Linked DNA regions of Saccharomyces cerevisiae S288C. The protein of the gene in region 4 binds, or shares a complex with, the protein of the main gene of each other region. Each region holds a gene or a part of one and is shown on either strand. Other genes may lie near its edges. The genes, in order: MRPL9, IMG1, RML2 and MRPL10.

Region 1 (3,045 bases), on a different chromosome or scaffold from region 4:
AAATCGCAAGTTTTCTCTCTGCATTAACTAAACAATACAAAGACTTAGTGGTCTTCAAAGGCACTTTGAGGGACTTTTTGGTGCAAATCAAAGAAGTCGGAGGTGATCCAACAGATTATTTGTTTGCTGAAGATAAAGAGAATGCATTAATGGAACAGAATAGACTAGAGAGGGAAAAAGCTGCCAAGATTGGTGGGTTATTAAAACCTTCCGAACTTGATGATTAGAGGCGGTGGCGTATCATTCTTTAAATTTCCAATATTTTTTCCCTTTTATTAACTAGTCTCTAATTTATAACCACGGGGTTTTCATTTCTTTTTCACTTCATATTGTATGTAAATTGGTTCTTCAAAGTTCCAATACTCTAATATAGTACTAAATACTATTTAGCCAACTTCATGGAAAAGTAAAGAATATTATTTGAAGATTCTTAAGTGATTACCCATTTTATTGTTATTATTGATGTATGTACATGATTGTAGTAAAATACTTATACGCCTTATGCTCAAGTTTTTTTGATTGCATCTTGAATTTTAACGAAACTGTTTTTGGGCCCAGCCACAGAGCCTTTAACCCAAATAACATTATTTTCATCGTCGACTTTCAAAACTTTAACATTTTGGATAGTAACATGCTCGTTTCCCATATGACCAGGCATCTTTCTTCCTGGCAGTACCCTACCTGGGTCTTGGTTTTGACCATAAGAACCACCGTGTCTATGCATAATAGATGTACCATGAGATGCTCTCAAACCCTTGAATCCATACCTTTTCATCACACCAGTAAAACCTTTGCCTTTGCTGACTGATCTGACGTCAACATATTGGCCTTCTTTGAAAAAAGAGGGTTTCAATAATGTGCCAGGTGGTATTAATCCCTTTTCATCTTTAACTCGGAATTCGGCCACATGCTCTTTTGGGTTAACAACTTTAGAAGCGAAATGACCAAGCATTTGTCTGCTAACTTTAGACAAATGCCTTGATCCGTACCCTACTTGACACGCGAAGTACCCATTGACCTCCGAAGTTCTATGCATTATTACTTCAACATTATTAACTTCTAATATAGTAGCGGCGCTTCTTTCACCAGTAGATTTATCAAAATAAGGCATCATTCCCTTCTTACGAGTAATTAAACCGCATCTTTTTGGTAGCCATTTTCTCGCATTTGCCAGTTCAGGTGAGTGATTAATCGCTGGAGCCTCGGTTGTTATACTGTTAGCAATACTAGGAGCCACTAGAAAAGGCCGAGTAGAAGAATATCTAACATGAAGTTTTGATATGCTAAATATTGATCCCTGTAGGAACTTCGACATGGCTATATTTGTTCTCTCTTGCTTTCAAAGAGTTGCCCTTTCTCGTCCCAGTTGTCAATTTATCGTCCATATATTTTTCAATAAAGTTCGTTTGACAAGGGATTACCCGAAAACAAATATCTCGCGACTGTAATAGGAGAAATGGCATTAGCATTTCAATTAAGGAAAGAAGAGGATCATCGAGAAACGAATTTATGGTGCTTATTTACTGTTACAACATTTCATGATTTTGAATTTTATTTATACATGTACATTCTCGTACGGTGTTATTTCGTAATTATGGGATGTGCCCAGTTGCTTCCTTAAGTCTTCCGTAGAAGCTTTAAAAGGTAAGATTTCCCCCACACTAGGAGGCTGCAAGATGTCAGTGTCATCCAATAACCCACTAACACGGAAATTTATTGCATTTGACAACGTTGACGGCGGTTGTGATAAAGAAGATGATGTTGTAGTGGATGAGTTACCAGGGAGATATTGGGCCTTTATTAAATTTCTTAAAGATCCTGCAGGCTTATAGCGAGGTTTCATAGAAAGTTCTGATGGGTTGGTCATAACAACACTTTGTCTAAGCTGATATGGAAGGGGCGTACAAAATTGCTTTGTCAAAGATGTTGACGGTATTTTCGTAGGCGAACTGTAAAACATTTCAGGATGATCCATTGGATTCAACGCTGTCCCATTAAGCCTAGCTGTAGGTACATGTTTTAGTGTTTTTGGAGGTTTAGGCCTTCCTTTGAATGACGTCAAGGAATGCGAAGAGGTGGAATAAATGAATTGGGTAGGCGTGGGCAAATCTCCGATGTTCTCATAATTTTGAGGATGTTCTAACGGGAGGGGATAATTATAGTAGTAATTGTCATCATTGCTCTGGTTGCAGTGATCTATAAAATATGTAGAATATTGCTGAGCAGAAGTAAGATTTGACTGACCCGAACCCTCCGAAAGGGCCCGTACGGGAGCCTTTGCAGAGTGAATATGGTCCTTAGCGACCGTGTCAGAATATATTGATGAGGTAATTCTCGTTGAAAGACCATTCGGTGGTGGGAATGTAAGAGATAGAGACGATTCGGGAATCACTTTTTCTCTGGTTGCTACTTCTGAATATACTGACGATGCAATGTTTTTATTCTCTTGTGGTGCCGGCACTTGCAGATAATCAGTTGCATCTTCATATTCCTCATTGGCGCTGGAACTGGAATCAATTTCTTGGACAGTTGTACTTCCGAAGTGACTCTGTTCAATTAATGTAGTATCATTTGGATTGTCTTGAGAGCTCATATTTACACTTTTTCTTGTAGCGATGTTTAATTTAGAGTCACGCCGTATCGAAGAAGTTACAGAGGATCGTATCGTGCTATTACTTTTCTCAAAATAAATGTTATAAATGCTTCTTATTCTGTCAATATTTTCTTCCTCCTCTCTCGAACACTGAGGCTCGAGCCCGCTACGACTCGTATAATTCGATTTAAGTCGATTATCGTTGTTATGGCTGGACTTTTCATTTACATCAGGATTTGACGTACTATCACATCTTTGATCACAGTCTTGCCCAGTATTTGAGTGTTGTGGTGAAACAATCAGCTCAGAATTCTCTAACGATTCGAAAGAAATCTTATTCGAAAGGTCAATGTGCTTGGAGGGGACCGATAACTTGCTGTTATTCTGCGAAGCCAGTGAAGCAATATTATAAGCGGAGGGTGCATGCTCATTGATACGCCTCACATAATCTT
Region 2 (2,703 bases), on a different chromosome or scaffold from region 4:
CGTCTTCGTACGAGTATTTGGCGGTAGCGTTAAACGTATAACTCGACTCGGCGCTATTTACACTGTCGCCTTCAAAAGCTTCGAACCTGAAGTTGGGCACAATATCAGCCACCAGTGGGCTTTTCTTCAGCTTGTTCACTAAGTTCTTGGACAGGTTCATGGTCACGCCGCGGAAGGATCCGATGGAGAATTTCTTCTCAATTTTGTTGTCGATGAACTGTCTCCATGACCTGTTGGAATTCGAAGTGAATTGTTGGAATGCTGTGGGATTTTTGAACCTCACCAAATACTCCTCTGCGTATGCGAGGTTGACCAGCAAAGAGATGAGTATGCACTGTGGCTTCATGACCAGTGTTTTTTTGCTGTTTTTCTTGGCGGATGTTAGAGGATGTCTAGCACTTGAGTATACCTCTATATGCTGTGTAAAATAGAAAATAAAAAAGCCAATGAGAACAATATTTTGTGTCGTTTTTTTTATTTTCGCTTCAATTCTCTATACACGTACGTCATCACTACGGGAAACCAAAAAAAAAAAAAAGAAAACAGTACAAAAAGGTTTACTTTACCCATAGTTAGTATACGTAGATTTTATACACGCACTATTTTTCTTATATACAGGAGATGGGTGGCCACAGAACCCGCGCCTAGCCTATTTCTTTCTTCTTAGACCTGCCTCGAGGTCGCCGACATCCAACCTTGTACCTCTGATGTAGTAGTGTTTGTTTCTTTGTCTGCTCGAGACGTGGGGGGTTAGCAAGTCGATTCTCTCGATCAGCGGCGAAAACAATGGCACTCTAATCTCGACGGCCGTCTTGGCTATCTGGTTCCGCAACAGCAACGAGGCGTCTTGCACCAGTTGTTTGCGGTCTATGGAAAGGATGTAGCCAACAAAGGTGTCGTACGAGCACTTGGACGAGTCGTACACAATCCGGACCACGTCGCCTGCCTTCAAGCGGTCCTTGTTCTTTTTACTGATGAGCTTCCTCTTAACGGCCCCGGGATCCAGAGACTCTATTTCTGAGAGGGCCACCTGCTTCATAATCTGCGACGAAGCTATGCGCTGCACAGGTGGGTACACGGGGATGGTTTTTCTCTTGGTGGCGGGGACCATGTAGGACCTTGTCCATGATCCAAGCAATCTGACGTTCCTGCTCCACATCGCTATGGTTCTCTCTCCCTTTCAGCAGCTGCTCAGAGGGAAGACTCGATTCTTCTTCTTCTTCTTTACTGGGAGTTCCAAAGCACCAAAATTGAAAACCAAGAAAAAAAGGAAAATACATCACTACATAAAAGTGCGCGGAGCCATTGACCACTCACATACAGATATAAGTGTATATATACAAGTATACATATACAAGTATACATGTAGAAGGAGACAGAGACAGAGGGAAATGTATAAGTGTGTATTTTTATAGTATACAAAAGAATATGCGTGTGAGGATGTGTGTTTCTTCTAGAACCTGTGTCTTCTTTTCCTCCCGGTGAACTTGGAGTCCTTCGCAACTTTCCTCCCACGTCTTTTCATGAGCTCCTTCTTTCTTAGAATGAAACTCTTGGCAGACTCCTTGTCTTTGCCTCCCTTCAAGCGCTGGCGCAGTTGTTTCTTCAAGTTGACGTTCTCCTCGTCCATGGTCACACCGTCCAAATTCACCTGCTCCTCCCCCTGCGGTGGGGCCCCACTGCTCAACACAAGGTAGTACTTCTTATTCTTTTTAGACTCTGGGTCGTCCACCACAAGCCCGCCACTGAACCCTGCCACCTTGGCAGACTGCAGTATGTCGTCCACCTGGTCGTCGTTTTTCGGGTAGAACTGGGCCACAAATTTCCCTCCCTTCTTCAGTGCAGCATACAATGTGTTGAAAAACCTCATCAACCGCTGTTTAGGATCGTTGTATGAAGTGTCCGCATTGCACAGCCATTGGATCGCACTGATACTAATAGCCGCGTCAAACGAGCCCGCCCGGAACGGTATCCCGGTGCCCATATCCTGCAACATCAAGTCGCCCTCCAGCTCTCTACTAAGACCGGTCGCAAGCATGCTGGGCGATATATCCAAACCACACCACACATGGTCTCCCTCCTGCGTCAAAATCTCCCCAGACAGTCCGGACCCGCACCCGATATCCAGAATGAAACTGCACGGCTGCAGATTCAAAAGCTCCAACGCCCTCAGCGTCATCTTCGCCTGGATATGCTGCACTCTGGTCGAACCCGTGTACTTGTGTGCTTCGCTATCATTATAGAAAATCTCCGGTGGTGCCAACTCCTCAGGACGTGACATTATTTCTTCTCTGATATATTTCCTGTGTTTCCGTACCGCACCTTTTTAGCACTACTTTTTTACTATGCTCTTCTTCTTCTGCTTCTTCTGCTTTTTTCCTCTTTATCACACTATGTATGTGCTGCTCATCTCTTCTTTTTATCGATAAAATTGAAAAATGTGAGATGGTGTAGAGTGAAAAAAAAAAAAAAATCTGGCTTGGCCATCAAATACCCGGCCGTGGTTGGACTCGTTTAGCGAACAATAGCACCCAGCAGACCCTGGCAACATGCGGATGATATAAGAAGGACGAGCGTGGTGGAGGAAAGGGGCGCCATTGGCACACTCACGCAGGTGGTTGTTCAGCACGGCTTGCAGCAAGAGCGCCAAAACAGATTGCAAGAATGACGGAGACTAAGGATTTGTTGCAAGACGAAGAGTTT
Region 3 (3,630 bases), on a different chromosome or scaffold from region 4:
AGCAAAATGAGACTGCAAAATTGGATGCTGAGATGAAATTGAAGAGAGATAGAGCAGAACAAGATGCTTCAGAAGTAGCTGCTGATGAGGAACCTCAAGGTGAAACATTGGTTGCTGATCAAGAAGACGATGTTATATTCTGAAGTTTCAGGCAGAACAAGACCCTTTTCAAAAATATGTAAGCCATTATTAAAAAAAAGGATATTTTGTATAATTGTTTAATAAAATAACATCTTTTTAAACAATCATAAATAGCACTTCTTATCATACAACCTCAAATCATATCGGTCCAAATTTGCTCAAATTGTACATGAGATATAACTTTTTCTTCTAATGCTTTCATTTCAGAGTTTGTTTTTTTTTTTTCTTTTTTTTTTTTTTCCTTACCGGAGTCTGAATCTCTTACTTCCTTAACTTAGATGTTAGTGACTAAAATCTGATGGACAGTATCAAAATGTAAATATTGTACCTAAAAAGAAAAAAGTATTAAAGTGGTTTGCCATAAATTTTAAACAAGTGAAAAGTTTCAATATTTATATTTACATGATTGTGGACAAGCGGCATTGTCTACAGGCTGTGCAAAATTATATAGTACAGATAAATGTAACCAGAACAACGAAGAAAAGGTCCCTATGTTGCTTCTTTTCTACTAAAATTAGCCTATTTATAATCTTGCATCTTTGCCTCTTGGTCTGTCTTTTACTTTCATTCTATTTTGATTTTTACCCCTTCTAGTCTTGTACCCCTTTGCCAGTTGTCCCCATGGAGACATTGATAATTTATTAGACTTGGATTTACCACGGCCACCACCGTGAGGATGGTCACATTTATTCATGGCAACACCTCTAACAGTGGGTCTTATCCCTAACCATCTTGATCTGCCGGCTTTACCAAGAGATCTGTTTTGATGGTCAATATTGGAGACCACGCCAATGGTAGCGACAGCCTCTAAAGACACATAACGATGTTCACCGCTTTGTAATCTAACAATAGCTTTCTTTTTTTCAGGTAATTTCGCAAGGACTCTGGCATATGTACCAGCAGAGCGACAAAATTTTCCAGGTCCAACGGGTGTTATGCCAACGTTGTGAATAATAGTACCTATGGGGATCATGGAAATAGGTAGACAGTTGCCTCTTTGGGTAGTCTTAACACTCAAGATAGCAGGGTCTACTTTCCCGCCCATTTCATTCAGTAAAGTTTGAGGAATACCTCTTCTGAAGGATTCGACCACATCGCCTGGGCGTAACCCATCACAAGCAATAATATAAGACAATTCGCCGGTAGTATTATGCTTCAATAGGGCGATATGAGAGGATCTACCCGGATCGTACTCAATCCTTTGCACCGTTTGTGCACCACCTTCCCATCTGTTAAAGTCTATCAGCCTCGTTCTATTTCTATGGCCACCACCTTGGTGACGGACAGTGATTTTTCCTGAATTATTTCTACCACCGTGCTTCTTTCGAACAACAGTTAGGGCTCTAACCGGACGACCTTTGTACAAATATGGATAAATGGGGGAACGGTACCATCTCAAACCAGGTGAGACGGGTTTTAGCCTCTTCATCTGGGTCACTTCTTTCGAAAGTTTACGACGTCTTTTAATCAATTCATCCTGCTTCTCAAGAGTCACGATATCAGTATCGTTAGGTATAATCTTTAGTAATCGTGGAGTAATGTTCAAACTGGAGTCATCTTTTGAAGTATTCTCTTGCCACAATTTAACACTCTGAGATAGAGTTCGACAGAGTATACCGTATGGATAACAAGGGTTTCTCTTACTAATAAGCGATGCTGTGGAACTGCACGACAGCGCCGATCTAAGAGACCCTAGCACCAACATCTTTCATAAACACTTAAATTATCTTCTCTGCGTATTTCTGGACTAGTTTACAACGTTCTCTTTTGCTTAGTTAGAACTCGCTTTCAGTTTCCCATACGTTCCCTTTCTCTTTCAATTATAGGTTCAAGCCCTAACTTTCCACCTCGCGTAGTCTTTTTTTTGCATGGAAAATTTTTTTTGAGTATTTAAAGAACAGAGGTTCTATTCAAATTTAACCGTAGAATATACTTATTCATCTTAAATACCAAGCGCTTCAACCTGTACGTGGATGGTAACATATAGATATTTCTATAGAATGTGTTAAGGAACAGGAGTTCCTGACAAACAAAAATAGATCGTACTAATACTTTTTTTTTCGAACTATACTGTTTGCGTATGCTTATAAAGCCAAGAGGGGGATGTTTGTGTATTACTTTCTTTACTTTTTTCTCTTCTGCATTATTGTTCCTTTAGAGATGATAAAGACAACTTACAAGTACAGTTTTTTGTTGGTATCTCATTAACATGATGACTAAGTTGTCGCCCCAAGCGGATCTTTGAAATGACTGATTTTACAAACAACAAACACTGAAAATTCTGAAATTAATGAGATATTTACACATTAAACATCAAAAGTTTTCTCAAGGAACATGTATTTAATGCAAGAAAAGGATTGCTGAAGAAAGGAATCTTTTCTCAAACATTTTACCTCTTTTGCCTCATTTGTACACAGCGGTACGGTTGGATTAAGAAAAATATCCATTCGACCTAGTTTTTTTTGTTAAGCACAATTTGGTTTCAATATCAATTCTTACTGTTATATAAAAAATTGTCTTAATTGCCATTATCACTCCTCTTTTTTTTTTTTTTTGATGATGATTACACTCCATGCTAATCATGAACGTGTTCGATGTAAATTTGAATACGATGATTAAAATTGTTGTTTACGCTTTCTGAAATCTAAACTAGAAAAGAAAAGGAACTATCAAAGAATTAGGCTCTTCGTATTGGAATTAGTTGACAGTTGCTCATGAAATGAATGGATTAAAAAAATAAAGCTGCGCAAGCCCGGAATCGAACCGGGGGCCCAACGATGGCAACGTTGGATTTTACCACTAAACCACTTGCGCTTACTATTTGTTGTTATTCAAAAAATAAAGAACCCACAGAACATAGATTAGAACATAACCTTGGAGTATCAACTTGATTCACAAAATATTATTCGTCGTATATCATGGCATATAGAATCTTGCTGGAATAAGAAGCAAGTTTCATCTTTGATCTTATGTATATAGTATTAATATGTATTATTGTTGGAATAAAGATCAACTATCATCTACTAACTAGTATTTACGTTACTAGTATATTATCATATACGGTGTTAGAAGATGACGCAAATGATGAGAAATAGTCATCTAAATTAGTGGAAGCTGAAACGCAAGGATTGATAATGTAATAGGATCAATGAATATTAACATATAAAATGATGATAATAATATTTATAGAATTGTGTAGAATTGCAGATTCCCTTTTATGGATTCCTAAATCCTCGAGGAGAACTTCTAGTACATTCTACATACCTAATATTATTGCCTTATTAAAAATGGAATCCCAACAATTATCTCAAAATTCACCCACTCTTCAATTATCATATAGGACAGAATTAGTTGACAAAAAGTACGATGGGAAACAGCTATCAAATTTAAAGGAAGCTGAAATGCAAGAATTAATAATGTAATAGGGTAGCGAACGACAAAGTATAAAAGGAAGGAGGATGAAGTTACATAATTATGTAGCACTATCGA
Region 4 (3,168 bases):
TTGATAGACGATAGTGGATTTTTATTCCAACAGTGTTAAAGATCTATTAGTTGATCATGTTGGAATAAAAATCCACTATCGTCTATCCAAACAATTCTCTCAAAATTCGCCCAATTCTCAAAATTCACCCATTTCCCACACATATGTGTTTTAGGAACGTTTAGGATAAGGAATCGTCATACTGACGTACCTCATTTTGAGATACAACAAATCATATATTATAAGACTCCATGGCCAAGTTGGTTAAGGCGTGCGACTGTTAATCGCAAGATCGTGAGTTCAACCCTCACTGGGGTCGTTTATTTTTTTTGTATTTGTGCTTATTTACTAAATAACCATTTCACCCTGTTATAATAATGCTTAAAAGAAGAATGTAGTTTTTCTCTTTTCCTTTAACTGCTTTACTTCTCCCGAAAAAGCAAGATGCAATCTTTTAATATGTTTGAGTTTGCTTAAAGTATATTCACAAAAAAGAAAATAAAAGTTAAAAATTTCTGAAAATCAGGACCTTATTCGATAGTTGGTCATAAATTGACTGAAAAATAGAATAATTTCGGACACCAAATGAATCATTAACAAGACAATATCTTAAGGTATGTACAAGTGAGAATATTACTTATATATAAAACGGTTAACAATTTTTTAGTGGTCCAAAGCCTTGATGTTCATGACTTTAGAATTAGACACAACTGGCACCCAATCCTTCTCTGGAGACAGTTCTTCTAGCTCTATTTCTAATGAGCTCTTTTTTACATTCTGTTTTAAAAAGTGTCTAGAACCCTTATTTTGAGCTTCTTTGATATCTTGTAAGAGTTTATCTTTTTCCATTACTAGGTAACCTCTTTTCTCTTCTTTACTATAGAAATCAATATCCCTTCTTTTCGTGGGTCTAGCCTGTAGTGGTACTCTTCCCCTCTTCTCAAGAAACCACTGGGGGTTGAGATGTGCCCTTAGACCCAACGGTGTGTAGTAACGAGCTGTAAACTTACCTCCTGCTTTTTCAATAGCCGCAATAGCCTTAGCGGATGCTCTAGAAGCCTCCAAAGCAATCGGTAGATTGTAGTGGAACTTTCCGCTGGCTAGAATTTTAACTCCGTACTTTATGGGACCAGTTACCAGACCAAGCTTTCTCATCTTATTCATGTCTAAAACCTCGCCTGGTTGCAAATGAAGCCTATTTTTATCATGAAACCATTGAATGCGTTTCAAGTTTAATTCCTTTAATGGTTTGGCGCCAACGTTGGTAAATCCAATTTTAGGAAATAGCTTGTAAATTGGAGTTTGACCACCTTCAAACCACGATTTTACTTTACCACGCGCCTTTTGACCCTTTTGACCACGCCCTGATGTCTTACCTAAACCGCTGGAAGGACCACGCCCAAGTCTTTTGAAAGACTTTGTAGAACCATCTGACGGTTTCAATTGTCCCAAAATCGAAACATAACGATAACTTTGAAATGCTAATACCGGCGATTTGAATAAACCTCGGAAAAAAATATCGTTACCAGCTACGCTAGTTAACATCATGGACGGAACAAAAGTGTTTATTAGTTTGCGACCGATTACGGTTGTAAAACTATTTCTTAATCCTGTTTGCCTTTCCGCTTTCATCAACTTCTAAAGGTCATGAGCTTTAATTTTACGCACTGCGTTTAGTGCAGTTACCTGGAGTTTCAGCCGGGTAAGAAAACTATACGATTGCCAAATAGAAAAACGGATATAAAGATAGTAGCTGTGAATAGTAGCTTTGTATAGTACATAAAGGTACCTTATCTAACATTGCTTGCGACGCAGAATACGCAAAATATACTGTTTAATTGCAATCAGGAGTTTGCTACGGTATTTGGTATAATCGGAACTCATATTGTCCTACGTTCACCGAGACCAATGAACGCACAATAAAATGGATACTTGGAATGCCCTACCCAAAATATGAGCTGCGTTTGTTTTGTGAAAAACGAAAAGTAATTAAGTTGTTTTGCAGAAGTGTGAATAATTGGGGGACGCCATTTGGTTTCTCTCTTCTGATTGATTAAAGTTAATTTCGGCACAATAACCCAATGACTGGCTAGGAAACTTCTCGATGCATCCGTGATCTCCCAAGGACGAAATGGTTTTTATCACGTCCTAACGACATCATATGTCCTCGAGGAGAACTTCTAGTATAGTATTTATTAACAATGGAATCCCAACAATCATCAAATTATTCACCAAATATACACAGATTCTTATACTAACTAAAGTAAGAAGATTAGGATTTCCATACTCATTTTGTTAAGTAGCACTTGTATATCCGGTTTTCTCAAGTTCTGAGCTTCTATGGCCAAGTTGGTAAGGCGCCACACTAGTAATGTGGAGATCATCGGTTCAAATCCGATTGGAAGCATATTATTTTTATTCTACGGTAAACATGCCTGATGGTGATTTGAGACAGACCCCATTGCCTCAGATTTGTGAAGAATAGAAAATGTGTACATTCATTTTGATAAACTATACATATACTTAACTTTTTAACATGATAAATCAATATTGATATGGTCGGTACTGTTCACTTTATCTATATTTTTTTTCTTTCGTGCAATAATCGTCGGCTTTAATAATATTATACATACAAAGGGAAAATGAAGGAAAGAAATATGAAAGGATGAATAAGTCTTTGATATGAATATGTAGTGTTGGTATCTAAACCTAGTCAGCGCAAAGAACTATTATTGGAATCCTTTGCATCATCGTAATCATCATCACCATCTGAGACATTACTCCCAATATTTGAACTCACATTATCGGGGTTGACAATGTGTAGTTGTCTTTCTTCCATCATATCGGGCAGCGAAGTAGCACTGAACCTTTGGTTCCCGTTATAGATCGAAGGAGGCTCCTCGTACACTACCGAGGGAAAGTGACTTCTTTTGCTGATATTATGTGCATCACCAGTAATAATAGAATCTCTGCCGCCCGGCGCCCTTGTCGGCAGATCATAAGTGGCAAAAGTAGACGCTGTATTCTTGGACAATGCTGTATTATTCCTAGAGGGTATGTGCCAGTTAGTGCTCGAAGCAGACGGTGGAATAACAGGGTTAGCGTCAGCATCACCCAGTGAGTACGGCTGGTACTGCTTTGTCTCTTCCAAGTCCACATGCTGAGAAGATTGGCGACGTTTTTTCCATA

The links.
Region 1: MRPL10 (region 4) and MRPL9 share a complex: the UniProt entries of both Saccharomyces cerevisiae proteins name them as parts of the mitochondrial large ribosomal subunit.
Region 2: MRPL10 (region 4) and IMG1 share a complex: the UniProt entries of both Saccharomyces cerevisiae proteins name them as parts of the mitochondrial large ribosomal subunit.
Region 3: MRPL10 (region 4) and RML2 share a complex: the UniProt entries of both Saccharomyces cerevisiae proteins name them as parts of the mitochondrial large ribosomal subunit.

Annotation. Positions count from the first base shown.
Region 1 is NC_001139.9:935,569-938,613, forward strand, and holds MRPL9 (mitochondrial 54S ribosomal protein uL3m MRPL9), read right to left. Parts: upstream 1,316-3,045; coding exon 506-1,315; downstream 1-505. Other genes in the region: exportin CRM1, read left to right, coding at 1-227; TOS2 (Tos2p), read right to left, coding at 1,556-3,045. UniProt on the Saccharomyces cerevisiae protein: Component of the mitochondrial ribosome (mitoribosome), a dedicated translation machinery responsible for the synthesis of mitochondrial genome-encoded proteins, including at least some of the essential transmembrane subunits of the mitochondrial respiratory chain.
Region 2 is NC_001135.5:209,265-211,967, forward strand, and holds IMG1 (mitochondrial 54S ribosomal protein bL19m IMG1), read right to left. Parts: upstream 1,160-2,703; coding exon 650-1,159; downstream 1-649. Other genes in the region: RRT12 (Rrt12p), read right to left, coding at 1-346; BUD23 (18S rRNA (guanine1575-N7)-methyltransferase), read right to left, coding at 1,454-2,281; ARE1 (sterol acyltransferase), read left to right, coding at 2,665-2,703. UniProt on the Saccharomyces cerevisiae protein: Component of the mitochondrial ribosome (mitoribosome), a dedicated translation machinery responsible for the synthesis of mitochondrial genome-encoded proteins, including at least some of the essential transmembrane subunits of the mitochondrial respiratory chain.
Region 3 is NC_001137.3:59,006-62,635, forward strand, and holds RML2 (mitochondrial 54S ribosomal protein uL2m RML2), read right to left. Parts: upstream 1,847-3,630; coding exon 665-1,846; downstream 1-664. Other genes in the region: VMA8 (H(+)-transporting V1 sector ATPase subunit D), read left to right, coding at 1-143. UniProt on the Saccharomyces cerevisiae protein: Component of the mitochondrial ribosome (mitoribosome), a dedicated translation machinery responsible for the synthesis of mitochondrial genome-encoded proteins, including at least some of the essential transmembrane subunits of the mitochondrial respiratory chain.
Region 4 is NC_001146.8:102,492-105,659, forward strand, and holds MRPL10 (mitochondrial 54S ribosomal protein uL15m MRPL10), read right to left. Parts: upstream 1,612-3,168; coding exon 643-1,611; downstream 1-642. Other genes in the region: WSC2 (Wsc2p), read right to left, coding at 2,693-3,168. UniProt on the Saccharomyces cerevisiae protein: Component of the mitochondrial ribosome (mitoribosome), a dedicated translation machinery responsible for the synthesis of mitochondrial genome-encoded proteins, including at least some of the essential transmembrane subunits of the mitochondrial respiratory chain.